Linked DNA regions of Nothobranchius furzeri. The main gene of each other region encodes a partner of the protein of the gene in region 4 in a complex. Links are inferred from orthologs where the notes say so. Each region holds a gene or a part of one and is shown on either strand. Other genes may lie near its edges.

Region 1 (4,068 bases), on a different chromosome or scaffold from region 4:
GCTGTCACCGACCGAGCACGAAGTCACACGAGTGACTTCGTCAGTAAACACAACAAGCAGGAGAAAATTACAACATGGCTCCAAAAGGTTTGTGTTTTATGTTCTGTCCATTTTAGAATCGCCAATACGGACCTGAAAAACAAAGGAGACCGCTAGCTAGGTGATAACTTCTCACGGGGCCGCACAGTTAGTAACTTTTTTTAAAAGTAAAGCAACCGGAAGGCAGTACGTTCTTTATTCTGAAAATCTCGGGAGCTTCTCTCCATTTCCGCGTCCGATTTCCTGTCTTTCCTTCCCCAAAAATGTCGAACTTGACCCGTTTCAGAGGCGTCGCGTGTAGAAAATAGAACCGGCGCGTAAAGGCCGCGACATGCTGCTCCTGAGAAGCGGCCGACTCGCGCTGCTGACGGCTCCGGTGGAAAAGGTTCTGTTGACCACAGCGGTTCCTATCAGCAGCTATGACGCGCTGCTGACGGCTCCTGTGGAAAGAAGGGGTGACATTTAATTTTCTAAATGAAACAACCGCAGCAACACATTTCTGTTTTAAACCAGAGATTTGTACATAAATCCATCACAGCAGCTTCTAGAAATGACTTTATTAACAATAAAACATTCATTTACACCGTCTCTTCCGAAAAACAAAACAAGCCGTTTAGACTCCTCACGGATGCATAAAAAGTATTTAACTAAAGGTTCTCGTCTCTCCTCCTCAAGTAGATGTTAAAATGGTGAAAAGAAATTAAAACAACATATTCATAAACGGATCCCAGCAGGCAAACGTACAACTCTGTAAAAGTTAGTGAGTCTCTAAAAGTCCAGAGATGATGATGTGTGATGCTGGTTAGGATGTTTAATCAGTTATGATGAGCTCATCACAGCCCCAGTCCTCGTAACTCCCATCAGGAAGGTACCTGCGGATGATGATGGGGATCTTTCTGCCCCTTTTGGAGAAAGAGAAGAAAAGATGAGTGAAGTAAAAAGTTGTTCGTTAAATAAAACCAAAGCCAAAAGTTGGTGCTTGTCAAAGTGACTTACTTAAGTTCTTTCATAGCGATCTGCAGAGGGTCAGTCTCTCCCTCCAGCTCCACCATGACAGGAGCACACATCCTGTTGGAATCAAGCCAGCACAGGAAAAACACTTTTATTCAGGCAGACTGATGCAACATGGGAATATGGGGTTTATAGTGGGCTAATTTCTCTAAAGCTGGGAAAAAAGTGACTCATTAGTTGCAGCCATCCAGCCAGCATTGGAAATTAAATACAAATAATTCTGCATGTAGATTCAAACGCTACTTTTAGCTTTAAAATGGGCTTTGGCATGCTTTTATTTTGAAAGCAGATGAGGCATTTACACAAGCAGCCGCCTGTTTCCAGGAATTTCTGCTGGTGGGAATTCAGAGAGCCCAAACTCAAGACAAAAACAGAATCAGGAGTTGATTTTACTGATTTACCTAAATAACCTTCTGTTGATACTAGGTGTTAATGCGCTATTTAGCATATTTAAGTTTTTACTTAACCCTCCCACTGTCTTCATGGGTGACCCCGCCAGGAAAGTTGACCACTGAGCAGGATGGATGGTTTATCCCTTGATGTCTACATGGCAGGGGTGAGGTGGTGCTCACTTCTCACCCCTGCCACATGGACCCAAGGGATAAACCATCATCCCTGCTCAATGGTCAACTTTCCTCGCGGGGTCACACCCATCAGGACAATGGGAGGGTTAAATGTCTTTTGGAAAAACGAAACTTTTACTGACATAAATCCCGAAATGAGCCCAGCTAATTTCACTGAACATCTCTAAATACTAAGTTTAGGGAGGAAACCTACTCTCAGTGAAAATGTGTTTAACGAGTTAAAGATCAAACACACTCAGCTTTAACCGTGATCTCATGTAAACACACTCACGCTATCTGCAAGGCTCTGGTCCCTAGCACTCTGGCCCGCTCGTATTTCGTCATATACGGTGTGGTGATCCTCTTCTGGTTGGCCTGCTGGCCTTCTCCTGCAGGTAGGATCTGCACATTCTCCTGATCCTCCTATTCACCAGAGCAAAACAAACAAGCTCAGACCAGGAGACAGCTTCATAAAAGTCTCAAGTGGTGATCCGTCTCTGTAATAACTCACATCTTCGACGTTCTCCAGGTCGTCTAGTCCTTCGTCCTCCTCTGCATAATCAAAATCTCCATCATCGAAGCTACGGAGTTAAAACCTTTGATCAGATATCTTAAACTTTAGGTGATTCATAACTTTTAACAAGCTTTATTGAAAAAGTACAAAAGTACGTAAACTTGGATGGGAGACTGAATAAAACAGGACGTAAGCAGCAATACACAGAATAGGCAAGGATCATAATAAACAATACCGTGTGATGCTAATCGAGTTAGCATCCCCGTTAGCTTACGTCGATTATACAAAATGACGCAGATTATTTAAACGATTTCTTTACTTACTTGTCTTCGTTGTCCGACATGATAAATTTTTAGAGTAGTATATATCCGTGTAAAATATTTTAACGTTTCTAGGCTACACTTTTGTAACCAACACGAATCCACATGAACGTTGCACTGGCTGGTACGCTACTAAACATTCCGGTCGGCCAAAAGAACCTCGTTAGAGTTCCCTTTCCGGTCTGTCTTTTTTTTTTTTTTTTTTTTTTTTTGATGTTTCAGAAGCATCAACAAGGTTTACCGTTGCAACACTGCCACCTTCTGGAGTTAAGTCATTTTCCATTTAGTTTGATCTGTAAATTCTACCAACTGTAGGTTAAATAAAGGCTGAATAATCCCCATTCTCTCTCTCTCCTCACTTTCTTTAATGAATTGTTATAATCAAGTGCTAAAGATTTAAGGAATTTGACACGTAAAAAAATATTATTTATATGTGCAATTAATCAAATTAATGCCAAATTATTTCACGAATAAATCATTACATACATAAATTGTTAAATGGGCCATGGATGAAAATTTTTAATTATTTTGTTTTAAATCCTAAAATGCACACCGACTCCTCCAAATCCAAGGCCTGTTTATTGACTAGAGAAGACTGGGGCTGAATCCAGCGATGAATTAATGAGAATTCTTCCGGTCGCTTCCCAGGAGAAGTGTTCCAGGCATGTCTTGCCTGTAGGAGGCCCCCAGCTCGATCCAGGACATGTTGGAGGAATCATCATGTCTACTGGCCAGGGATTTCCATGGGGTTCTACCGGTGGACCTGACTGAGATCCTGGAGAGAGGACCATTTCGACTTCACTGCCAGCTCCGCCATGTAATAATTACTAAAATTGTACAGTTTAATGATTATCTGTAATTTTTACATCAAATAAATGTTTTTATTTATAGCACATTCATTAAAATCATATATACATAATTATTTCATATTTCAACCAACTAATGACACATTCAATTAATGATATAAATTTTTTATGTACTTTTGGCCCTCTATTTGGTTGTATGTCATGGCTAACGAACGTGGTCTTAAGCTTATTATCTGCACAAACAACATAAATCATCTCACGTAGAGCTAACGTGTCTGTCAGAACGTCACCCAAACATTCATGACGCGCCTATTTTAAAAGGTGACACACCACAAGGCTGCCACCTGATGGTCACTGTGGTACACTGCAATTTCCCTCATTTAACAGGGCCGGTTTCCACCAAAGTGAAATAAATAAATAAATAAATAAATAAATAAATAAATACATACATACAAAGGACCAGCTTTTTAGAATCAGAATCAGAAGGTTTTATTGCCATATGTGTGCCAAGTCACAACATTAGGAAATTGCTGCGGTATTTGGTGCAGAAGGTAAGATAGAAAGAAAAATTTAAGAGATACGCAAATATAGGAAGTAATAAAACACTCATGATAAAATTATTAATGTAAAAAGTGGCAAGAATTAGAGAAGCAGCGATCTACCCCGTGCAGGTACTAATCTGTTTTTCAAGCACAGCATCGGATCACGTGACTGGGACCAACCGACTTGAGTGGGCTGCCGTAGGATTTTCGTTGGAAAGTCCAACTGCAGAGGGGAAGAAACTGTTTTTGTGGCGAGAGGTTCTGGTCCGAATG
Region 2 (3,708 bases), on a different chromosome or scaffold from region 4:
ACCGTCGCCCAGTGAAAAGTGAAAGGACAACTGGCTGAGTACAGATGCAATAGGCAACAAAGAAACGGAAAAGGAGCCAACTGCACCGGCAGCAGCAGCTCGGGCACCAAGAGGAGGCACGAGAAGCACCCTGGCAGCCACAGCCGACTGCCTCTCCCAGGGAAGTGGTTGATTTGAGATTAAGATTAAGATAACAAATTAAAAACCAAATTAAGCATTAACACCAGATAAATAAAAGTCTAATTAAAACACACTGATAAAAAATAACCAAGTAGAAAGCAACAATTAAGTATATAAACATAATGAAATGCAAATAATGAATACAGGTTAAAACAAGTTAAAAATAATATGAAAATATAAGTAATTTAAGTAAAAGAGAAAGTAATAAAACACTGATAAAATATATAAAAGATGGTTAAACAGGCTAAAATAGATTAAACTCAGCTAAAAGCTATAATAAAAAGGTCTAAACTTAGCACAAAACTCCTGTGTGAGATAAGAAGTAAACCATTTATGGACAGCACCAGACAGGCCGATGTGTTTTAATATTGTGTTTTATATAAAGAATATTGTGGTCCACTGTATCAAAGGCAGCATTTAAATCCAGTAGAACCAGAACAGTTACTTTCTGTGCATCATAATTTATTCTTAGACCATTTAAAACTCTTAAAAGGGCCGTCTCGGTGCTGTGCTTTACTCTAAAACCAGACTGAAATTTCTCAAGACATGATGTGCATTAACAAAATCACCAGGCTGAATTAAAACAAGCTTTTCAAAAAATGTTCCTTACAAATGGTAAGTCAGATATCGGTCTGAAGTTTCTCTTCTTCAACAGGGGTCTGACCAGCGCCCCTTTAAAGGCGGCAGGAAAACCCCGCGTCTGAGAGCAGTTCATCATGGTTGAAATCTCATCTCTAAAATATCCATAAAAGGGCTTAAAAATGAAGTGACTATGGAAAAGTATGCATTCTTAATTATTGTCTCCCTGTATTATTATGAATTAATTGGTTTTGTTTCTTTATTCTAATTTTTGCTTATCATTTATTTTTCTTGCACCACGAACCGCAGCAATTTCCTAATGCTATTCTCACACATGTGGCAATAAAACCCTTCTGATTCTTATTCTCTCGCACCTCTTTGAATGATATTGACACTATTTGTAAATGAGTTACACAAACACCCATTTATTTCAGTTTTTATCGACAAGTAATATATACTTTAAATTGTTAATTAAAATGGCTGAGTAGTGCTTTCTGCTTCTCTTTCATATTTTTAAAAATACCTGCCATAGATCTCACACACATTTTGTATGATACTTTAATTATTTTGACTCTCATTGTTTGATTTTTAGTGACTGATCCTTATTTTGAAACTAAATGATAAATGATGAATGACCCACACTTGATGCAGGTGACTTTGACAGCCATGAGCAGCTCCTTTAGTGGGAGACTGCGGCACCCAAGGTGTGGGACAGAGAGATTCCGTAGGTCTTTCCTCCCTACTGCTGTCAGACTCTACAACAAAGCTGTTGGATGAAGTGTACTCTGTATTTCTAGCTGTATCTAGTATGGTTATTATTTATTATTTTTTAACCCATTCTTAAGGTATAAACTGTCTATTGTATTGAGTTTATTTTATCTCATTGCGGTCGGTCTTATTGTATTTTAATGTTTTTCTCCCTCTGCAGCATAACTTTTACTTTTACTTTGCTTGGCTGTAAACGAAACAAATTTCCCACTTGTGGGACTAATAAAGGTCATCTTATCTTATCTTATCTTATCTTATAGCACCTCTCAGAGTAAGGACTCCAAAGCGCTTTACACTACAGATTCATCCATTCACACACTCAATCGCACACTGATGGTGATGAGCTACAATGTAGCCACAGCTGCTCTGGGGCGCACTGACGGAGGCAAGGCTGCCACCGGTCCCTCTGACCACCACCAGAGGGCAAGGTGTGTCTTGCCCAAGGACACAACAGCAGAATTATCTGTCCGGAGCCGGTATCGAACCTGCAACCTTCCGATTACTGGAACACCCGCTCAGCCTAAGTTCCACACCTAAGTTCTGAACAAGAGTCACATATGTACCCAAGCAAACCCACTATGCTAAAACATGTGTCCTGTATCAGAGCTGCATGTGCGAAGTTTGCAAAGAAAATAAAAATGTTTCAAAATCAGCTTACTATCGAAGGAGTTATGGTTGATTAAACATGCTGACACTTCAATGCCTCTGTCAGAAAGGAGGGGGGGACCGATCCAAGATGACGGCGTCACCGCTCGTCATGTAATACAGGTTATTATTGGGCGTAGTAAAAACCATGGGCACTTCCCTACCCAGCATTGGGTAAGAAGCAGCTGAGGGAGCGCATTTGACTGTTGTACCTGCATTCTTGAACTCGAACAGACGAGGATCTGCTTTAATGGGAATCAGGCCTAATCTGTGAGCAAGGACTTCATCCTGGACAATTGATGTATTGTTATAGATGAACACCTTCTCAACAGCCATTGTGGGCACCTGCAGGCAAAATAAAAGCAAAGCATAAAAAAGATTAACAAAAAACATACAATGAGACATTTTTGCCTATAAAGGTCTAACTGCCTAATCGCATCAGGGAGAAAATGTTGAGTCCAGCTATAAAAATGTTGGATTCTTTCTCCTGAGAATGAGTCCAGCCTTAATTCACTGCTACTATGAATCCCATAATGTGAACATTAGAAAGAGACATAAATAATGGACCTGACCCAGCAGAAACTCCGTCATCACCAGAGATTTGAATGGGTCTGCACACTGGCTAAGAAAATTGTTATCAGTGTTTCCCCTAGAAAATTTTCCAGCCGTGGTTCACGGGGGGTGGGGTGTAACGTTTTTGGTGCTGTGCATTGGCTGTTGGGGGGGGGGGGGGGGGGATGGATGGGTGCGCATACATATATATATTAGGGCTGGGCAATAAATTGATATTTTTAAAATATCTATATAATTTTTAAACAAGATACAAGATGACTTTATATCTTTATATCAATATAACTGGTAAAACTGCTATGCTAGCGATTAGCCGCTATGCTAGCGACATGTTGCTCCGTCTCTAAGCTTCTGAACCACCTGTAAACGGTTCAGGGAAGTTCTGCTCAGACACGTGAAAAGAGAGTTGCAGTAAACTAAGCGTGAGGAGATGAAGTTGTGGAGAAGCCTCAAGTTCAGAACGGGACAGAATGGAACTCAGCTTAGCGATGTTCCTGAGATTGAAGAAGTTAGAGCGAACAAGAGAACTGACATGAGAATCCAGGCTGAGAGCTGGGTCAAAGGTCACACAAAGATCCCTGACAGAAGGTTTGGTGTGAGATGCAAGCTGACCAAGAGAGCCCCTGACTTTGAGAACCAGCTTGTCTGGGGCACAGATGAGGATCTCAGTCTTATCTTCATTCAGCTGTAGAAAGCTCCCAGCCATCCAGGTTTTGATAGAGTCTAAGCAGGTGTGTAACAGCTGCAGCTGAGACATCTCATGGGGCTTAAAGGAGATGTACAGTTGGATGTCACCTGCATAAAGATGGTAGGAGATTCCTTTGAAGAAGCTCAGGATGTGCTGAAGAGGAAGCAGATAGAGGAGGAAGAGCAGAGGCCCCAGCACAGAACCTTGTGGGACACCATATATATATATATCCAGTTCTTATTCCACCACAAGGTGTGCACCAGCACCAGAGTGTGGAC
Region 3 (4,386 bases), on a different chromosome or scaffold from region 4:
GTCCTTGAATGTGAAGTGACAGTGTGACGTAGATCTGTCAGGACCTTCAAATCCTAGAGTTCCGTCTGTTTTCTATCAGAAGCTAAAGCAGGAGACTATTTTCTGCATGTTAAACGTAATGTAACAGATCATTTCCAAAAATAAGACAAACTTGTTTCTCATTGGAGGACCTCTTTAAGAACTTAATCTAAATATTACATCTGAAAAGGTTTACGACCTAAAAATCATGATCTGAGCATCTCACCTCTTTAGAGACCTCTTGCCATTTCTGTTTACACATCTCTGCAGTGTAGGAGTTGAAGGCCACCTTCTGCCAGTCCAGATGGGACTCGGATGTTTTGTATTTAGTCAGATCTTTCTGTGGCAGAGCCACTTTCATGGCCTCCAGCAGCTTTAGGAGGTCATCCTGCGACCACACTGATAAAAAAATACATGTAAACTGGTTCATGGATTTATTAGTATGGTTGCATTATGTTTATAGTATGATGACAAAATGTGGAATTCATTAAAACAATTTCGTGATTATACAAGTATTTGTCATTTGTTAAAAAAATATATATAAATAAAAATGACTCATAAATATACTACCTTGGTCATGTGTCGCTGCCTCCATTTCTCCATTCATTTGTGAAAATGCGATTTTTGAACTACAAAAGAAACAATAAATTAATCAAAATCACTAAAATTCATATTTTCTAACTTTATTATAACTGATCTCTGTTGTAAGTCGTTTGAGTTGAAATGTGTGCCGACATAATGGTTTATGTTCATTACACCGCCCCTAAACGTTTACGCTGCATGGTGAGGCATAGGCTATTGCTTGTGACGGCTTCAAATCTCAAATAACACTGCGGAGGGCTTCAACTAAGCATATCTAGCGACGACAACAGGAGTCCCTGTCGAGCTTCTTTTTTATTTTTTTTTATTTTTTATTTTTGGGCCAACCGGAATTTGGCGAATTAGTGCTGTCCTTATTCTACAACAGAAGTATCGTGGACGCTCAGGAGCGACCATTTTCTCGCTCGGTCTGCTCGGTAATGGAGGACTTTCTGTCGGAGCGGAGGTTGGGGAGGATCCACGGAAGGAGGAAGCGAATGAACGTGGACAGACAGGCAGCTGTAGGCGACCAGCTGACCACGGACGGGGGATCTGCTTTCGGTCTCCGACAGCCTGGAATGGCAGCTTGGAAGCACTGCAGCCAAATGCGCCACTCGGCGGAGACGCCTCATCACCGTTGGACGTGGATCTAGCTCCGCCACGCAGCCCTAAAGTCTTCTCCACTAATGTTTACCCAAAACAAGAACGACTAAACTAGCATTCTACGCGTGAGGGGGTTTATGTGTGCGTTTTAGAATAATTCACTCAACATTTTGTTCGCTTTGTGGTATCACGCAGTTGTTTTTTGGACCAAAAAGCCAGAGCATTCTTCAGCGAGGCGTAGCCGAGCTGTGCTCCAATGATGGCGGATGACCGTTGTTCATCTTGTCCTTGATAGCTCAACCGTGTCTCCTCGCGTCGTTTCTAACACTACTTTCGACATATTTCTTATGTAAAATGCGCAGAATGTCAAATTCAAACGTCGGATTTATGACGTTTAGTCAAAAATACTACATAAATGTGGAAAAAAAAACATAAGACGCCGTGTAACTTAGCATGTCGAAAAGAAGCCTAAAATCATACCAGCATCTAAGGTAGCACAGTTAGTCAACAGTATTTGCTACTAATCAAAATTTGTGTCACACAAGGACGATTTAGGGATCACATTAACTTGTGTTTACAACGTATAATTAACATGAATTATTTGACAACCATACAAAATGCTCCAAAATATTCTAAATTAAGTTACACCAGATCGAAAATTAATAAATGTTAGGTTAAATTATTTGCGGAGGCGCGAAACATAATTAAAATAAAAAATATATGTACGGTGAAACAACATTATTGACCTAATTTTGAATTACTTCATGTTAGTGTTAGTTATTCTCCGTTTCGAGGAAAATGTGGGCTTTAATCGGCTCTTTCATTATCGGATATCTAAAGAACAATCCGCGGCTGAGCAGCTTCTCTGGCGCGACAAAACGGCTCCAGGTCCGCCATGCTACCAGCCCCGCTCTTGTAAGCAAACCTACCGTGACAAGGTCCAATGGCGTACTGCGAACACTGAAAACGGAGCCGAAAGCTCTAGCCGGGGCGTTGCAGACTCCCTTCCCTAGCTCCAAAAAGCGCATAAGCGAGGACGGAAAGGCGGGTTCTCCGAGCTCGGTTGTCGGTGGTTCTGGGCTAGTCAGTGAGAGAGAGAGGGGGAGAGGGGAGGGCGAGTCTCCTCACGGTGAGATATTAAACCGAGATCCCTGATGGCTGACCGAGAGGCGGCTAGCTGTTCCGCCAACAGCCGCGTGGAGGTCTCGGCGCGGAAACTACCGGAAAACATTTCCCCACGCGAAACAAACGATTGCTTAGCTAAATCCCGATGCTACGTGAAACTAATTCGCTTCATGAATTCACTGGGTGTAATTTATAGTAGACATCATACCACTGGGTCTTACATCCAGCTTCTTCCCCGCTGTTTGGGCAGAGAAATTCGGGTAAGGCCGACCTCGTCTGCGCCCTTCCAGCGGGGAGTTTGTTTCGTTACCACAAAGATCCTGCCGCCTAAGGAGCTTTGGTAGACAACATTAAAAACAGAATGTCTATTTTTCGACTTTTAACCGCTTTTCTGGTTTGTTTATCGCGCTCTTTCCACGTGTGGTTATGAAACCGACCGACTTTCGTGCTGCTTACCTGTCTCGGCGCGAGCCTCCGCGTCGCTGTGGATGAAGAAGGGGAGGGTTGAACGATAGCCAGCACTGCGCCGTCGGTCCTGGGCTCCAGTCCCCGCAGAGATGGTCCTTCCCCCCGCCTCCATCTCTCTCGCTGTCTCCCTCCAGTCAACGTGCAGCAGCTCTCTTCTCTCCATCCAACCATTTCCGCTACACCGACACATCCCCATGTTCCCCAGTGTTAACGCCGCTGATTTTCTGAGCTCAGCCAGCAGAGTTTATTGTTTCTCATCGAGCCCGACTTTCACGTCTCCCACTGAAGTTTGCATCTCTAACATTTCGTCTGCCTACACTTGAAAGAAAAATCGCTTTACTGGTTACCTAATTTAAACGCCACCAGTGAACTTTTTTTCATTGAACGCACACATCTTTAAAGTTTATAATTGACACCAATCAGTGTCTGATTATTCTCCTAACTCTTATTTCCGGTGTCCGTGCCGTTCCCCCGGCACCAAACCTCTTTGACTCAAACGTAACTGGCTGTTTGACAGCTTCATTTTAGCCCAGCATGTTATTTTTTCAACTCCACCTTGTGTGTTTGTGGGCGGAACCCCCGGCCGTCCAATCCAGTCCGTCCGATTGAAGGAAAACAAAGACTTTCAGGCACTCAGTCTTGTTAAACTGTGCTATGTTCACTTACAGTAGGAATAAAGTATTATTGGATTAGTGTCAGGAATTTAGCTAACTGGACAAAAACAGTCGTCTTTTGTTTTAGTTTAGTGATTTTAATATCAACCTTCCCAGGCACTACAGGTGGAAATTAGCATCCCCACTATAACCTGGTACATTGCATCTTTCTTTTGTGGTTAATGTCAAGTTGTGCACTGTCACTGTTTAAATAAACTTCTACAATTACAATTAAAATTATATAATATAGTTTGAAGAATTCAATTGTGTTATCTTTTTTGTTTACCTTAAATTTCAATTATCCTGTTCGTATTTATCTTTCACAGTAATTTATATCATGTTTCCTGTATGTGGTTACAAAGTATTAAATCGAATTTAACGTGTAATTGTTAATTACTTTTTTGTTTTGCCTTTGATGAAGATTGAAATCATGAATATGGCTGAATAAAACTAGACAATACTAGACTTAAAAATAAAACCAACTATTTAACCTATTAGCAGGATAAAAAGGCAGCTAAAATAGTAATTTTCCCATGTAGAATATTATGCTTGCGTATCATGTTTTTAGAACGTTTATGTTTTAAATAGTATTTTAAACATAATATAAGAATAACGAACACATTTCTCTCTGAGGAACAATCCTACTATAATTTATCTCATTAAGACTCTTGGCAAACAAGTCGCCATCCACTAGTTTTGAATAAAAACTTTATAGTACTGGGATTTACGTGATCACCTTGAAAGCAGCCTAGAACTTTGGCTTAAAGCATGAAAAATATGTAAACATAGCATTTATGGAAAAAAAAATCGTTTTAAAGTTGTTTTTTTTTTAGTTAAGGGAAATCCAAAGCATGTACAGTGGTTCAAACACACAAAGTTTGAGGCAAAACAAAAGGAAAATGTTCCCTGATGCAACAGTCTCCTCAGACAATTATTTTAT
Region 4 (4,287 bases):
TTAAAAAAAAATCTAAATATAACAAAAACTAAAAACTTTATGACATAACTGTTGATCTGTGTAGATCTAGAAGGGCCTACAGCATTTGGACATCTGAGGGGCACGTGGCTACTCGGCTGTTTTATATTGTTAGCTAATCCTTTACAAATCTACTTTACTTCTATGAAAGGCCATTTTTTGTTTGTGTGCGATTTAAAAACAATGAACCTGCAAATCTTTGATGTAAAATGGTCAAAAAGTTGGGTGCTCTTCAGAAACACCGTTAGCTGTACCAACGCAACCAGTGTGTGGGTTTCCCAGCCCCCCGGGGGCTGCTGACCCCAAGGAGAGCCCCTGTGTGTGGGGGGGGGGGGGGGGGGGGGGTCCTTGAACACAAGTAGCTGAGCTGACTTTCCTCTGCAGCCTTAAAGCCGGGCGTACACTGTGCGACTTTTTCACTCGCAGCGTTCAGCTTCAGCTCAAACTGTACGACTTCCTCACAGAGCAGATCTCACAGTCGTGTGCTCACACTGCACGACCCAGTTCTCGCATGCGACCTGACTGCTCACACTGTACGTCTGGTAGCAACACGTCGGCCCTAAAAATGTGCTAAAAATAGCAGTTTTTACTCAACACGTCAGACTTTTTTGTCTTGTTTTGCCTGTTGTCCTTCGGTAGTGCTGCAGGAGGACACACAGGGATTTATGGGGGTTGGATGAGGAAAACGAAATAAAGAAAGTAAATCTGTGTTTTGTGATCAGTTTAATTTGACATGAACACGACAAACACGCTTTCTTGACAATCTTTGTGAGTAAAAAAACGTGTAGAAACAAAAATGAGCAGCGTGTTATTAGGGAAATAGCGAGCGACCGGCCGGCGTTGATGCAGGATTGCGCGCGCATGCGCCGTGAGCGGTTCTGATACTTTTTGGGTCGCAGCTGCTCGCAGCGCCGCTTCAACAGTGCGATACCCTCACGAGGGACGAGCGAAATATTAAACACGCCAGAAGTCCCTGCGACCTCACGACTGCTGATCGGCGGCTGGTCACGTGGTGTTACTCGCCTCTCGTAACCCCCTGTACACTACACGACCGCTCGGCGCAAAACTCGCCCCGATCTTGTGGATTCTCGCACGACTGGAAAATCGGCTCAAAAAAGTGAAAAAGTCGCACAGTGTGCGCTGAGCGTCGTGTAGTGTACAGGGGTTACGAGAGGCGAGTAACACCACGTGACCAGCTACCGATCAGCAATCGTGAGGTCGCACAAACTTCTGGCGTGTTTAATATTTCGCTCGTTCCTCGTGAGGGTATCGCACTGTTGAAGCGGCGCTGCGAGCGGCTGCGACCCAAAAAGTATCAGAACCGCTCACGGCGCAATCCTGCATCAACACTGCTCGTCCGCTATTTCCCTAATAACACACGCTGCTCATTTTTGTTTCTACACGTTTTTTACTCACAAAGATTGTCAAGAAAGCGTGTTTGTCGTGTTCATGTCAAATTAAACTGATCACAAAACACAGATTTACTTTCTTTATTTTGTTTTCCTCATCCAACCCCCATAAATCCCTGTGTGTCCTCCTGCAGCACTCCCGAAGGACAACAGGCAAAACAAAACAAAAAAGTCTGACGTGTTGAGTAAAAACTGCTATTTTTAGCACATTTTTAGGTCCGACATGTTGCTACCAGACGTACAGTGTGAGCAGTCAGGTCGCATGCGAGAACTGGGTCGTGCAGTGTGAGCACCTGACTCGTGAGATCTGCCCTGCGAGGAAGTCGTACAGTGTGAGCTGAAGCTGAGTGCTACGAGTGAAAAAGTCACACAGTGTACGCCCGGCTTAGGAGGAAGGACTAGATCCACCTCCTCCTCCTCATGAATAGGAGCCAGCTGACATTGCAAACAGCTAACAATTGTTCCCTATAATTACAGAAATCACTGAACTAAGTTCTGTTTTCAATCAGATAATCTAAGGGAAATGAACCATCTAATCTGATCAAATGAAGGTTTGAGCTCTCCTCATCAGTGAAGCTGTCCTCTCACCAGAATCGTGTAAACCAGCTGCTCATGGTCCTTTGTCAACTGAGTCACACAGCTCCGAAACTCCTGCAGCCAGCTGATGAGCTGAGCATCCTGTCCAGAGAGACATGACCATTATTCGCACCTTCACACCGACCCAAGATCAGCCTCAGAGGTTTTACCTTGATTTCAGGATCCACCAGCTGATGCTTCAGCAGCTCGTAGTCATTTGTGTCCCCCTTCAAAAACAGACAAGCGCCTCATCAGGACACAGGGCTCTTAGAGGAAGGTGAAAGGAGCTGCTCCTGCTGCTAACAATCGTATCAAACTAAAGTAAAATGATTCTGCCACAGCACAACCACCCAGGATATTTCACCTTCCACCTGTATTTGAAACATTCATGTTTTTGGTTTAAAGTTAAAACTCATTCCTCGTCTTTTAACCCTCGAGGCACCTTGGGTCCCAATTAAACATGTTGCTTTTTTATCTTTAACATCTATCAGTTTAAACTTGGCCGAGATCATGTTAAGCCAGAGAAGTCTAGCTGTTGTCTTTACCATGCCCTGGACTGGACCAGCTACAGCACTCACGTGTCTGGCTTTCTCCAGAGTCTCCGCTACGCACCCCCCAAACCGGACCGTCTTGGCCGGAGGAGAGTTGAGGAAGTCCCTACCGTCTGCATCCATGGTTCCGGCCACGCGCTGGTTTCCACGAGCTAACGTGGCTATCATCAAACTAAACGTATACGTTAACGTATTCTCTCATTTCACCGGAATAAAGACGGGGAACAATATCAATACAAGACCCCAAAACACTAGTGAAAAGCAAAGGCAAGCTGCTGTGAGCGCAGGCGGAAGAAATCACGTGTTTCCGGAACAGAGTGATGAGGTGTCACATTAAAACTCTTCCCGCGGTGCGCGAGACCCACTTTTTTTTTTTTTTTTTACAGTAAACAGAAAAGCATTATTTTACGATAAATAACTGTGTTTCACCCTGAATGTAATATTAGCTAAATATAGTTTCTGTAAGAATTTACCACCTGTGTGCTACAAGATTGCTAATTCAAAATATATAATGTGTTCATCAGGGAAAACAAATGTTAAATTTAAGCACCTGAGAATTATTTTTTTCACAGTTCATCAATTTCTTTGAAGTGTTGAGCATAATTAACTAAAACTGTGGATTTTTTCACATAGCAAACTGTGATCATCACATCTACTGTGCCTCTGAAACTTTATATCTTTATTGTACTTTGTTTTGTTTCTCTACCAGACTAGTGTGTCATTTAGAAAAACATATTACCTCAAGCACATTTTAAGGGGAAAAAAAAGTATTCTACTTTTTGCTAAAATAAATAGGTGAAAAGAAAAATAAACACTTCAGATCAATGTTGTTCTGCATCCTGGAGAAAAACCAGTGGTCTCTCTCAACTAAGTTCAAAGGTCACAACCTGATACCCATGTTGGGTGGGACTGGCTACACTCTTTTACAGGGCTTGACTGGGTTGATTTAACCCTCTAGAGGTCGGCGTTGCAGATGTGCAACGTTAAAACCTACCTACCTGGTTACCCCACACATGTATTTCATGAGCATGTTTTAACTCAGAACCCCTGAAGGACTTAGTTGTTCGTCCTTTTATCAAAACTTATTTTTGAGCCTGAGAGGGTAAATGCATCCGATTTTATTTTGCTGCTTTACGTCGTGATGAAATGAACGGATGAAATCCACAGGCTGCATCCCTTCAGACAAACTTTGGTGTACCTGTTTGGACTGAGAACGTCGGAAATAAAAAGAAACAGTAATCGAGTTAATCAGAAACTCCTTCAGTGACCACCGAGTCTCAGAGTCAATCTGTCTGCCAGCTGAAGCTTGAACTGAACCAGATCATCAAACAGATCCATGACCCAAACACAACAGCAGAACTACCAAGGAATCCAGGGGCGGAAGTGCTCTAGTCAGAGTCCAGGGGCCATGCCCCCCCCCCCCCCCCCCCCCTTAACTCATTCATTGCCGGCCGTTTTCTGAATAGAAAAGCCCCGGACTGCCAGTGTTTTTGAGCATTTTACAGTTTTTTGCTGCGTCACAGAACATTGTGTTCTTGGATCACGTAAATGCCAAAACTACCAAAACAAATAATAGACTCACTTCTTACATCAGGAAGAATCAGCAAGTTTCTGGCTTTATCTGCTCTTTCATAATCCGTTGGTCAAATTGTGAGCTGCAGAAGCCTTTCCAGTTAACGCCTCGCTTTTTTACAGCAGCAGCCCTAAACGATCTCCTAACACATGGGTTTTCT
Region 5 (4,294 bases), on a different chromosome or scaffold from region 4:
ACATCTGACACAAAACCTCCTGAAATGGATCAGACGGATCAGACGGGATCGGCCGGCGCCGGAGCATCCACATCCGCTTGAGAATAAAAGGACCTTAAAGTTCGGATCGACTCCCAGCCGGAGCAGAGCGTCAGCCTGGTTCTTCAGGATGAACTGGAACCCCTCACAGACCAGCCAGGTGTAGCCGCGCTCTGAGGAACATCAACCTGTCAGAAACTAAACTGAAGTTCCCCTGCAGCTAGAAAACATCTGGGGACGGCTTTAGAGACCAGAAAGGTCTGTGTTTGTAAAATAAAGTTGTGTGTGTGTGGTGTATGTGTGTGTGTGGTGTATGTGTGTGTGTGGTTATTCCAGCTGAAACCACCTCAGAGGACACACCCACCTTCTTTACTGGTTCTGGGTCCTTTGGCGATAGATTTTAATCTGTTGGAGCTTCCAGCGACGCTCAGGTCCACCACCTCTATGGTCCTCTGAGCACAGGAACATGTATAAAAACCATCAGGGGAGGCCTCAGATAAAACAGCGCCTCCTGCTGACAGCCACAGGCACTACAGCTGCCAAAAACCCGTTTTAACCACGTTCCATGGCAATGACGCTGACAGGCTCAATTGTACGTAAAAGCGTTGGACTTGGGAGGCAGAGGAAACAGGAAATCAGTCAGAAAGTCTAGAGCATTTATCATTCAAGCTGATGAGGACCTTAAGATCAGTAGAGCCTGCTGTCCAGTAATCAGAGGGAGTGCAAAATGACAACCTCACCTCTCAGACAACCCCAGGGCAGCATGGCTACGTTTGAGTTTTCCATCACCAGCAGAGAGCCCAAAAGCTCTTTATAAATCTAATCTATTATTATTATCAGCAGTAAACAGCTGCAGCAAGGTACCAACTGTCTCTTTAAAATGTGAACTCAGGAGTTTCCTTCACTGTGCTTATTATTATTATAATTATTATTATTATCTAGCAGTCTAACACTAAATGCTCCAGCCTCTCAGAAGTGCAAGCTAGCATGGCTAAAGCTAACGGAAAGCTTAAACCCACATTAATAACGTCCATGCAGACACATGTTCAGAAACCACAATATGAGAATTTAGAAGCTTCTAACTTTCAGAGTTTTAAGACATCTGAGGAAGTGTTACCATGGTAACATACTCATTGATTCTCATGTAAGTTCTCTTGTTCGCTCTTCCTTCTTCCATCTCAGGAACATTGCTAAGCTGAGTCCCATTCTGTCCTGCTCTGAACTTGAGACAGTTATCCACACCTTCATCTCCTCACGTTTAGACTACTGTAACTCTTTTTTCACGTGTCTGAGCAGAACCTCCCTGAACCGTCTGCAGGTGGTTCAGAATGCCTGTGCGCCGCTTCTGACCAAGTCCTCCAAACACACCTACATCACTTGTAAGTTGTTGTTGTTGTTTACCTCTATGACGTTGTGGCAGGACATGCAGTAGAAACGACCTTCTTCTGAGATGCCCCAGTTCACCGCTGCACACTGAGCGCAGGGCTCCCTGTAGCCAGCCTGGACAGGAACACAGGTACGGGTGAAGAGAGCAACTCAAACTCACCTGAGCTTTTGACAAAAACCTAAAAATTATTACTAATATTATTAATATTCTCACAACTCACACAAGTAGATTCACAACAAACTTTGAATAAAAAAGCAAATAAAAAGTAATAAATTAAATCTAAAATCTGATGCATAATAAGAAAAATGTTTGTAAGAAACTTGAAAAATGAGAACCTTCAGTGAGTTAGACAAAAATTAGCTTTTGAAGAAAAATTAGATAAATTAAATGAAACAGAAAGAAAGAGTAAAATGTTAAATCTTACTTTCTTGACCACAGCAGGATGTTGGTGCATCAAAACGGGTTTAAATACTCAATAAATAATAAACACAAATAAAAGCTTAACTATTAGCAGCTTCTGCTCCACCTGGTTCAGAAAGCCTGTGCTCGGCTTCTGACCAAGTCCTCCAAACACACCCACATCACCCCGCTTCTCCTCCAGCTTCACTGGCTGCCAGTCAATTTCAGGGTTCATTTCAAGATCCTGGTTCTGGTCTATAGGGCCTTACATGGACAAGCACCATCTTACATTGGTGATCTTCTTAGTCCCTACACCCCCAGCAGGTCCCTGAGGTTCAGTGACCAAAGCCTACTGGTTGTGCAGCACCAGGCTAAAGGTGACAGATTATTTGCTGCTGTGGCCCCCAGACTTTGGACCTCTCTCCCCCGAGCCTGAGGTCAGTGGACTACGTGGTCTCCTTTAAACTCACCTGTGCAGGCTTTAGTGGGACCTTCATCACCTCCCTCTCCGTGTTCTGCTCTTATTCCGCCTTTCATGTGATCCACTGGTTTCCCACTTTTTCTCATTTTAAACATATTTTAAATCCTTTTTATACTTTTTTTAAGCTCCACGTGATTTTTATCTTGACAGGCGCTACATAAAAGATCGTTTTCTTTCTTTTTTCTTCACAGCTCTAATTAGGTGGAATGCTAGCCAAAACTACTAACCTCTACATGAACGATTGAATAACTACGTTGATCGTGTTGGTAACGTTACTAAATCTATGCCGATTACTAAACCGACCGCTGTAGATTCCGACCAAGTTGTTAAATGATTTCTTTCGGACTTCGTATTTAATAATAATGAAAGAAGGCGTGTTGTTAATAGGGTTGTGTGTGCCTCAACCAGCTAGCTAACATCAACATTCCCCCTTAATTAAATGTACGCGACATATTTACAAATAAAAAATGCTTAAATGTGTTTACCGTAGCGTCTTCATCCATCGTGATTTAAAACTAAAGTCTGGTCATTATGTGTTTAATTTATTCATTAGGTTTTCCTTTTAGCTCTCAAGCTAAAATGAGAGAAGCGTATTTGTAGCTGGAACCGCTTCATCTTCATCGGTTGATTTTAGCGACTGCAAGGTTTCTATACTGCCACCAACAGGTTGCAATGTGAACTACAACCGCCAACTATGGTTATAACTCGCTTTTGCTGTCTGTGTAATTCAACATTCATCAATTACGTGTCAAGTACATCCGGAAGAAAATGTTTTACAACGTTCCAATTAAAACTATTGAAAGCTCATTTAGATTTTTCACAAAGTTATTCAAAAGGTATTTTATGTAGAGTTCTGCTGTATTTTATTGTATTTTTGTCATATCTGATGTTCGGTTCGGCCGTCATGTTTGCTGGTGGTGTTTTACAGACTTTGGCCTCTCGTTTAAAAGCGGATTTGGATTTGGATGAGATCAGAGATTATAAAAAGACTCGCCAGATGTTTCCGTCTTTCTCTTATGTTACGTCACGAATCGAGTCGCTTTTCAGAAGAAACTTTATTTTTGTGTCTTTCTGTTGTGGTTCTGGAAGTTAGGAGCTTATGTTTCTTGTACAATCGCTAAAATTCACGACCCAACTGCTGGGTTCATCTTTCACGAGCTCAGAGAGCACACACGCGTTCTACTCACGAGCCCGTCGAGCGCGCGACAACACGCACAACAAGCTGAGGCGCACTTTCAAAATAAAAGCAAACACTAAAACAAAACAAAGAATTTAAGAAATTATTCATTTGCTGTGTACCAAGAAAATATCAAATAAACTGTTACAAGATAGTTGCTTACATATTATGTATTTATGTTTAATGTAGCTATTATTTTGAGTTAAATATATATTTTATATAATTTCACATGTTTCACCAAAGCTCAGGCTTCTAATTGTGAAAAACAAGTAGGTAACTCAAATTGGCAATAATAAACTATTTTCACAGTTAGACTTTCTTTTAAATTAATGTATTTGGTCCAATGGCTTTCATTTGGACTAATTTGATTTTATCCTGGTGCACGTGTCAGTTATTTCATTCAGATTCAAATCCAAATTATGTTTATGTATTTAGCAGACGCTTTTGTCCAAAGCGACTTACAAGTGATAATTGGCATGTTGCCCTTGATGCTAACAACAACAATAACAACAACAAACAATTTCCAGTCAGTTGTAGGTAGCAGCGAGGCAGCATGATGAATCATGGAGAGGAGGGAACAATAATAATAATAATAATAATAATAATAATAATAATAATAAAAAACTTTATTAATCCCTCGGGTGAATTCCTTCGGGAAATTCAGTTTCCAAAAAAAGCAGCGCAACACCGACAGAGGTTACAGAACGTCAGAAAATATTATATAATAATAAAAATAGAAATAAATATAAAAATACAATTGAATTGCACCTTCCGGATATCAACGTCCTTAGCACCGTTGACCATTAAACCAATTTAACTGTTTAACAAAGGT
Region 6 (4,458 bases), on a different chromosome or scaffold from region 4:
GCAGTAACAAGTCAGTGGTTTTAATGTGGATATATTTTTTATGGCACTGCTGCCCACCTTTTAAAAAGTATTCATGTGAATAGTTTTTGTAGGTGTTTTTGTTATGACAGCAACAAGCAAATTAAACTGTTCTAAAAAGCTAAAACGATAAATTTTGAAAAAAAAAATAATAATTGTAATCCCTGATTGAAATATGTATTTTTTAAGTGTGTGTGTTTCTAAAATTCAAGATAATTGTGTTGGATTTCCCTCTTTCCTATTCAATCTCTCTCTTTATTTACATTTTTAATCACAATTGTCTATCTTTTGCTCATTTTAAATATATTTTTAATCATTTTCTAAATTCTTTTTTATATTTTTACATTTTTTGTTTTTGTGAAGCGCCTCGTGATTTTTATCTTGAGAGGCGCTATAGAAGAGATCTTTTCTTCTTCTTCTTCTTGGATGCGTATTGTTTTTAATGAAAAAACAATAAAGGAGAAAGGCAACAATCAGTCAGACTAAGCTCTCCCAGAGTTACCACAAGGACTGTCCTTCATCTGCCCATCTCAAATGCAGTTGACTCCACCTGCTGAGAAACTGAGGTCCTTCAGAGTATGCAGAACTCTGTGAAGGACTTTTTATGATTTGTCGGTTGCATCTGCCCTTTTCTATGCAGTGGCCTGTTGGGGAAGCGGATGTACAGACAGGGACCAGAACAGAATTGGCAAACTGGTGCAGAGGACTAGCTCTGTACTGGGATGCCCCCTGGAATCGGTGGTGGGCGAGAGGAGGATGCTAGCTAAGCTAACATCCATCATGAACAACACACATCAACCTGAGCAGCTCATTCAGTCAGAAACTGATATACCCCCGCTGCAGGAAGGAGCACTCCCGTAGACCACCGATTCCACCAGTAGATGGGATTTATAACACATTATGACGTCATTAGTCAGCCAGCCACTTAAACGCTACGGTCACTACTCCATGCAGGATGCACCTGATATATGTATTTGTTTGTGTGCTTACATGTTCATGCCTGTATTTACAGTAATCTACCACATAGACGGTAAATAGTAGCTGTAGCACAACAGCTGATACTTTTTATGTATTATTAATTCATGTGACACACGTGATCGCCAGTGGAATTAAGGTGAAAAACAAGCTAACTTTCCACAGTTTTCCTGTTTAGTGGCAAAACGACAGAGACCAAGTATCTAGCATAAAGTCTTGTTAGCTCACTTGGATCGCAGCTGTAAGGCGACCAAACATCACCTTCCAAATTATTTTCATTCTGGTAAATTACAGATGGTGTACGTTTTTATACATCGTTTCTTTCCCTCAACCGCAACATGCACACGAAACACACACGTACACAGAGGCTACACTCACCTACCGGTAAGCTAATGATACACAACATAACTTTTCTCGCTACACTTCTTCTGAGGGATGACAATTTTGATTGTTTTACTAGAAAAACCAACAAATTAAACGTTTACCTCTCATCTGGACGTTAAACAAGATAGCCGAAAAAGTCTGTTATGCAGAACTGCAGCTGCAACAATATGTCACCAGTGCTCCAGTCTTGGGTCTTTTATGTGGATCAAAACCATTTATAATGATGATTTTGTCCACATACCGGTCCCCGACGTCTTTATATAACATGTCCCTGTATATTCCACATCCTTGTTGGGATTTTATGTGATTTAACACTTTCTTTCACCCAAATCTGCTTCTACTCTGCGACAGTACCGTTTATTTCACAGTTTGCAGAATGCTATGCGTAATCACGTGTGATCACAAGCCCTACACAAAATCTGCTGATTTTAGAAGCATTAATGTCGGTATATCGGTATCGGTTTTCGGCCATAACGGTGATATTAATATTGTATATTTGTTTTAGCCCAAAAATTTCATATCGGTGCATCACTATCACGTTAAATACATTTACTGTGAAGTGATTTTTTTTTCTTTTTACTACACTTGTGGTACTTTGAGGAATCATCACCACCTCCACCCGGGTTCCCAAACAGCCTCTTGAATCAGGCCCTCACAAAGCTAGAAACGGCTCTGGGACACGTTACCTGAAACAGGAATGCAGAAGGAGCAGCGAGGACACAGGACAGTGTTGGAGGTTACTGGTACCGGAAGAACGTTCCCGCATTCAGGACAGAAGTTCGGGTCACCACTAAAATAAGACATCCCGTCGAACCGGGCTGCTGACTCTTGAGAAACACAGACACGTTGAAAACAACAATCAAAACCATGAACCACTGGTTTCCCGTTCGGTTCACATGGGTTCTGTTTCGTTCCCTCCTGACTGCCAGTGGCAGTAAACAGAGTGGATGTATCTCCTCGCGCTCTGCGCAGGTCGAGTACTAATGTAAACAAAGTCACGCACGTGACACGTAGCGCACCTGGTCGCGAGTCTATAAATTACGCGCCGATAGCTACGTTCGGGTCTCCCGGGATCTTCTCGCCCGAGAAGTTCCGAGTGACCCCTGTGACTGGCAGTCATCCAGGAACTCACAGAACCATAGTTACACCGTAACTTCCGTTATGAAGACTTAGCACTTTATAAATTAACACTTTAAAAGACCTCCTGGCTGTGTGATGAAATCTAACGAGTGAATGTTATTGTTATTATTAGCAGTAGTAGCAGCAGCACATTGAGCACGTGGAGCTACTTGGAAACCTTTTACATGTTTATATTAGTATTCGGCTATTCTTTACACATTTAGTTCAAAACAGCGCTACTGTCATCATTTATTAAGTCAGTATAAAACGTTACAAACCTCTTTCACCGGTCACTTGTTTGCAGTAGAGGTCCTAGGGTCCTATCCACAGCTATGTATATGGTCCTATCACGTTATTGTCGCAGGCTGATGACGCAGGACGTGCTAGTGTCGCACGCTTGTTTACGTGACATGAGTTAATGACCAAAATGTTATTTGGGAATAATTAAATTAATTCGCAAATACCATTAAATGGTGTCAAACAATAAAATAAGGTGGAAATATCATATAGCATCTCCAGAAGCATTTCAATACCAAAGTAAAGCATACGTGGAAATAATAAACAACACTAAACTCATAATTACTGTGCAGAGATTTGGGGCAACAATGACCAGGGGTGGTCCTAGCCTGTTCGGTGCCCTGGGCGAACACACTTTACTTTTAGATGCTGCTTCACTCAAGCCGCTTCAGCAGACCTGTCCTCCTCCCTCTGCAGCACGCAGCAGAACAAATGTTTCCAAAAGTTACACACACCAGCATAATGTTCAGGCACTGCGCTCCCAAAATAAGTTTTTTTTTCGTACCCATTTTGCCACCCCTCTCATGATGCCATCCTGGGCCATTACCCAGGTCGCCCATGTCAAAAACAGTACTGCTCATAACTGTTTATTTTTATCTATTTTACAAAAAAAAAAAAAAAAGAAGAAGAAAAAAAAGGCCACTAGAATAATCTACACATCGGTGGTTACAGATGTCACACAAACCAAATGTTCTTAAAATCACAAATTTTGAAATTTTCTGATTTAGTTTAGTTCACATTGGAGTGAAACTGGAACCGACCAGCTGAGACAGTGATGCTGTGTTTTCTTATCAGGCTGAAACCTATGATCATTCATTTGTTTGGTGCATGTATGTAGAAAATTTGAACGGATGTCTGACTTTTCCATAGGTGTTTTATTTTAATGAATTGTTTCCATATTATATTATTTGTGGACTCCTTTTAAATGTTAATGAAAATCAAAAATACAATTCATAATTTGAACACAGTAAAAGAATGACAAACAATAAGCCCTAATGCAAGTATTAATCTTTCTTTGATGATGTAGACATCACACATTCAGTAATTAAATGGTCCATCAATTCCTGCCATATAATGTGTCAGGGAGGAAACGGAACTTCACCAGCAGACGTGGATGGATCACAGAAGGTTGTTTCATCTTCCTTTGTTGTTTTCAAGACATCCCAGAAAAAGATTACAAAAAGTGGAGCATTAGAATAAAGCTTTGTGACTGAAGGTCGTGTTGCAAAATGTTATCATGAAGATTAAAATGTTTTAGCAACTTTATTAACAACATATCAATTCTACCATCATGTCTCACATGCCTCAGTGACAAATTTCTGGATTTAAATCATCCCAGTCCTGCCTGCAGAACACTTACTCGAAGTCATCAGTGCTTCCTGACTAACAGATCCACCCTTAGATTGTGTTACCAACCAACTCTTTGCTTTCACACAAGTATAGACAGGATGATGCTACCCCAAAGTTTTATGACATGACATCATGAGCGATGGCAGTTTTTGGCTCTTACCTTGAAGCAAACAAACCTCACCCTCATCTCCATGATCCAGCTCTGAGATTTGTGAGTCAGATTGGAATTATGTTACTTCTAAAAAAAAAAAAAAATAAGGGAATGACCAAATGTAAATAAAACCGTTACTCTCGGTAGGCATCTTGCTTGTAGGC
Region 7 (3,694 bases), on a different chromosome or scaffold from region 4:
GGCTTCCAAATAATCACCTCATATTCACCATGGCGTCTTCCATGTCGTAGCCCGAGTACGATATGACGGCCACGATGGCGTTGGTGCCACTAGGGTAGTTGTCCAAGCTGTAATGGTCGTACATGTAGGGCCTGACCAGCGCGCTCTGTGGGGTCTGGAGCCGGTACAGCTTATTATCGGATCGGTCCGTGAACGAGTGTAGAGGAAAACCCATAGTCTGCTTACCTGGTGGGAAAAATAACTCAACAACCACACTGCTTCACAAGTTACGTACCAGAGAGCAGGGAGCCGGGACTCACCCATCTGACACTGGTACATGTTTCTGGGACTCTGGTTGTGGTCAGAGTAGGGGATGAAGTTGGCCACCACACTGAGCATGCTGTGGGGGAACAGCTCCTGGTGTGTGGTGACACCCGCTTCAACCTCGCCCTCCAAAATCCCCACATTGATGTAAAGCTGCAAAAGACCAAACTTTCAGTTTTTCCTGTTTTCATTCTCCCAACGCAGCCAAAAATCTGAAAATCCCACCGCCCAAAAAACCTGTTCAAAGGTCCCGATCAGCTCCTGCATGCCGAGAGCTAAATTCTGTACGGGACGCATCATCCGACACGGCGTTGTGAACAGGAACAGGCCAGGATATAAGCTGGCTTTGCCCGTTTTAGGAACAAGGACGATCTCCATCCAGGGAGGAATTTTCTTTTCCCTCAGCACCTAGAAATCAAATTAAGACATCTGATGATTCAGCGTTCAAGTAGCGGGCCAAACACTGGATCCAGCGTTTGTTTGTACCTCCATCCCATCATTAAACTTAACCTTGCATAACATCTGCAAACACAAAGCTAACGACTGCTGTTACAGCTAACAGGCTAAATGCTGGGTTTCCCCCAGCGCTTTATAAGCCTGGCGGCCCGCCAGGCTAAGCGTCATGCCCCACCCCCCTCCCCCTACCGTGTCCACTGACACGAACGGCGCAGCGAAACTAGAGCCCTCCATCAGCTGTTACTGGTGAGAAACAGCAGCGGAACGTGTGCAACCCCCCCACCCCCGCTCTCACAGAGGAGCGCTGCGATGCGGCGCGACCCCCGGCGGCCGAATCCGCCAGGCTAAACTCGTTTTCTGGGGGAAACCCTGCAGGTAGTGGCACGTACCAGACACGTCCCAAAATCATAACGGCGCTGCGCTCCCAGAGCACTTCAAGCTCAGCCAATCAGAGCGGGCCAGAACAGGAAATAAAAGCATCTGGAAACCATCAAACTATAACGCTCACAGATGTCCGCTTTCCTAAGCTTAAATACACACCAGCAATAACATAACCTCCTTGGCGGAGGAGACCTTTTGGATACATGCTGCCATCTTGTCTTGTTACTGTGTGAACAGGTGAAATCACGTGTGATCTTGCTATTTTCATGGGACTTTGTGATGTCGCTGTGTGGAATGCATACGCAGCGCCCCCCGGTAGATAACTCCATGCCACTGAGGTAGAGAAAAGGCACCAGTGACATTACACGCTGCTCACGCAGTGGAAAGCTGTGGTTGAACCTCGTCTGGATGCTTTAAACTCAAATGTCCCGTTTCAGGCCAGAACTTGAGACTATCGTCTACACGAGTCAAAACTGTTTCCTACCTTAAACCTGCGCAGTGACTCGACAACAGCTGGAGCCAAATCGCTCTCCACCCAGCCCACAAGAGCTCCGTCCAGGACCACGGGGTAACAGTCGGAGTAGGCGTGCCCAGGAGTTCCATCCACAGGAGTCACACCTGACAGCAGGAACAGCAGAAACGTTTTAACTCCATGGAAGGTCATCGCAGGCCTTCTGTCTGACCCGATGCTCACCGAGGGAACAAAACAGAGCCGGCAGCGACGTGGTGAACATGGAGGGTGCAACTATTTCACAGCTGGCGGTCATGTGGTTCATGAGCCCACACGGCTCTCCATCCGGAGTGTGGACGGGACACAGGAATCCCCAGGACTCTGGGAGCAGCTTCCGAACAGAGGTGGTCCTCATCTTGGCGAACGCCGCTCCTCGGTGCACGCAGCGGAAATGGGACAGGTAACGGATGAAGTTGAGTTTGTCGGCTACAACACAGAGGCCCGTGTTCTGCAGCATTCCAAGACCTATGGAAACACAAGATGTCCTTTATGCAGCTTTACTGTTTGTTTGTTTAACACCACAGCATGAACTCGTACTGAGATCCGGCGTTCCTACCAGTCTTGGAGTGAAGGTTTCCAGTGGCCAGCAAATACTCAAAAGGCTTCGTCAGGTCTGAGCCCATGTTCAACATCTTCATCACAGACTCAGTCGTCCAGGCTCCAGACAGCTTGGATCCTCTTTTGTCGAAGGACAGTTTGACAGAGACCAACCAGGCAGTCAGCCGCTCCTGTTCACACGGTTCAGAGTCCCAACGAAAACGATCAGCGGCGCGTTATCGTTAGGATTCTACAACAGTTCACTGATAATCCTGATTTACTGATGACGTTCGTTTGATAGAGTTCAACAAAACTGTCAGAAATCCTTCTTATGTTCATCTAGAACTGAACAACATCTCAAGTTTTTATAAAATCTGATATAAAAGGACAGGATGGCCCAGTATCGATACACACGTACAAACGTGGACTTTGCTTCCGTCTAAGCGGTCACACATCGTCGTACGTGTGGTGAGATGGGCTGAAACCCCCGTGTAACCAGGCACGGGAGCCTGCGGCGACCAAAATACCTCAGAAGCTCCCATAAATCTTTCCCTACTTGCTGATATGAGTGAATCCTGTGAGACTCCGGCCATGTTTGCCTTCACAGCTGGAACACACCTGTGCTGCATGACCCACGTTAGCGTTATCCGCTGCAAAGATGCTTTCATGTCATGAAAATAACTTCTTATGTTTTGACCCAAACCTAGATCCCACACAAGGAATCCTTCATTACTTGTAGTCCGACTGAATGAATGGAACCATCACAGCACATCTGACCTCCTAAAACACAAAACTGGCTACAACTCAGTCAATTCTATAGATACTGAGATCAAGTCTTCCTGCCACACGCGCCCCATCATTCCCACGGTGCAAAACCCAAGAAGGCCCCAAAAAAGAGCACCTGCCTTCAGGAACATGAGGTACAGCTGACCAGCCGTGAGCACTTCTTGAGTCACGATGCTGTCGGGGTTTTCTTCCATGCACTCCTGCTTGGCGTACGAGAAAAGCTTCCGGGTCATTAGACAAAGCAGGTAGAACTTCTCTGTGTCCGATTTCAGGTGGATGCAAATGCATTCGCTGCACAAGACGACAAACACACACTGATGTGTCGCTGCGGAAAGCTTCAGTTTAAATCAGTGTAACCGCTAGGGCTTACTTTAGGAGGACGTTGGCACACTGCTCGTTGGTGTACCACTCAGGTAGGTTCAGCTTGACCCTGAAGCGCTCTCCCAGGTAACTGAGCACACTGCTGCGGGTGGTGCAGCCCTCCTCCATCACCATACGCAGCATCTCTGACACGCAGGTCTTGTAGAAAGAATTGTCCTCGCGGCCTTTGATCAGCTCCTGGTGGATCTGGAAGTCTGTGAAATCCACCAGGGCCTGAAGAGCACCAGAGAAAACACGGTGAACTAACACAGAACGACACCAGGTCACGCTTCAAAGCTCGTAAACTGATACCTTCAGAGCAAAACCTAAAGGGAGGAAGAAGAGCTCCTTCTGGTAGAT

Evidence for each region.
Region 1: rrn3 (region 4) and polr2f share a complex: the UniProt entries of both Homo sapiens proteins name them as parts of the pol I pre-initiation complex. The link is inferred for Nothobranchius furzeri from reciprocal best matches to the Homo sapiens genes RRN3 and POLR2F.
Region 2: rrn3 (region 4) and polr1c share a complex: the UniProt entries of both Homo sapiens proteins name them as parts of the pol I pre-initiation complex. The link is inferred for Nothobranchius furzeri from reciprocal best matches to the Homo sapiens genes RRN3 and POLR1C.
Region 3: rrn3 (region 4) and ubtf share a complex: the UniProt entries of both Homo sapiens proteins name them as parts of the pol I pre-initiation complex. The link is inferred for Nothobranchius furzeri from reciprocal best matches to the Homo sapiens genes RRN3 and UBTF.
Region 5: rrn3 (region 4) and taf1b share a complex: the UniProt entries of both Homo sapiens proteins name them as parts of the pol I pre-initiation complex. The link is inferred for Nothobranchius furzeri from reciprocal best matches to the Homo sapiens genes RRN3 and TAF1B.
Region 6: rrn3 (region 4) and polr1h share a complex: the UniProt entries of both Homo sapiens proteins name them as parts of the pol I pre-initiation complex. The link is inferred for Nothobranchius furzeri from reciprocal best matches to the Homo sapiens genes RRN3 and POLR1H.
Region 7: rrn3 (region 4) and polr1b share a complex: the UniProt entries of both Homo sapiens proteins name them as parts of the pol I pre-initiation complex. The link is inferred for Nothobranchius furzeri from reciprocal best matches to the Homo sapiens genes RRN3 and POLR1B.

What each region holds. Positions count from the first base shown.
Region 1 is NC_091752.1:66,414,015-66,418,082, forward strand, and holds polr2f (DNA-directed RNA polymerases I, II, and III subunit RPABC2), read right to left. Parts: upstream 2,607-4,068; 5' UTR 2,471-2,606; coding exon 2,451-2,470; intron 2,195-2,450; coding exon 2,125-2,194; intron 2,037-2,124; coding exon 1,906-2,036; intron 1,108-1,905; coding exon 1,036-1,107; intron 942-1,035; coding exon 851-941; 3' UTR 582-850; downstream 1-581. UniProt on the Homo sapiens protein: DNA-dependent RNA polymerase catalyzes the transcription of DNA into RNA using the four ribonucleoside triphosphates as substrates.
Region 2 is NC_091752.1:59,335,121-59,338,828, reverse strand, and holds part of polr1c (DNA-directed RNA polymerases I and III subunit RPAC1), read right to left. Parts: intron 2,518-3,708; coding exon 2,385-2,517; intron 1-2,384. UniProt on the Homo sapiens protein: DNA-dependent RNA polymerase catalyzes the transcription of DNA into RNA using the four ribonucleoside triphosphates as substrates.
Region 3 is NC_091745.1:10,210,276-10,214,661, reverse strand, and holds the start of ubtf (nucleolar transcription factor 1), read right to left. Parts: upstream 2,920-4,386; 5' UTR 2,782-2,919; intron 2,287-2,781; exon of another isoform or gene 2,130-2,286; intron 648-2,129; 5' UTR 626-647; coding exon 589-625; intron 418-588; coding exon 245-417; intron 1-244. UniProt on the Homo sapiens protein: Recognizes the ribosomal RNA gene promoter and activates transcription mediated by RNA polymerase I (Pol I) through cooperative interactions with the transcription factor SL1/TIF-IB complex.
Region 4 is NC_091758.1:12,122,398-12,126,684, forward strand, and holds the start of rrn3 (RNA polymerase I-specific transcription initiation factor RRN3), read right to left. Parts: upstream 2,858-4,287; 5' UTR 2,723-2,857; coding exon 2,582-2,722; intron 2,231-2,581; coding exon 2,174-2,230; intron 2,106-2,173; coding exon 2,016-2,105; intron 1-2,015. UniProt on the Homo sapiens protein: Required for efficient transcription initiation by RNA polymerase I (Pol I). Required for the formation of the competent pre-initiation complex (PIC).
Region 5 is NC_091742.1:16,192,685-16,196,978, reverse strand, and holds the start of taf1b (TATA box-binding protein-associated factor RNA polymerase I subunit B), read right to left. Parts: upstream 2,921-4,294; 5' UTR 2,789-2,920; coding exon 2,771-2,788; intron 1,519-2,770; coding exon 1,420-1,518; intron 471-1,419; coding exon 383-470; intron 192-382; coding exon 94-191; intron 20-93; coding exon 1-19. UniProt on the Homo sapiens protein: Component of RNA polymerase I core factor complex that acts as a GTF2B/TFIIB-like factor and plays a key role in multiple steps during transcription initiation such as pre-initiation complex (PIC) assembly and postpolymerase recruitment events in polymerase I (Pol I) transcription.
Region 6 is NC_091751.1:25,535,373-25,539,830, reverse strand, and holds the start of polr1h (DNA-directed RNA polymerase I subunit RPA12), read right to left. Parts: upstream 2,879-4,458; 5' UTR 2,775-2,878; intron 2,205-2,774; 5' UTR 2,182-2,204; coding exon 2,064-2,181; intron 1-2,063. UniProt on the Homo sapiens protein: Core component of RNA polymerase I (Pol I), a DNA-dependent RNA polymerase which synthesizes ribosomal RNA precursors using the four ribonucleoside triphosphates as substrates. Can mediate Pol I proofreading of the nascent RNA transcript.
Region 7 is NC_091752.1:7,761,756-7,765,449, reverse strand, and holds part of polr1b (DNA-directed RNA polymerase I subunit RPA2), read right to left. Parts: coding exon 3,647-3,694; intron 3,569-3,646; coding exon 3,345-3,568; intron 3,266-3,344; coding exon 3,094-3,265; intron 2,380-3,093; coding exon 2,208-2,379; intron 2,117-2,207; coding exon 1,835-2,116; intron 1,759-1,834; coding exon 1,625-1,758; intron 712-1,624; coding exon 541-711; intron 457-540; coding exon 300-456; intron 226-299; coding exon 29-225; intron 1-28. UniProt on the Homo sapiens protein: Catalytic core component of RNA polymerase I (Pol I), a DNA-dependent RNA polymerase which synthesizes ribosomal RNA precursors using the four ribonucleoside triphosphates as substrates.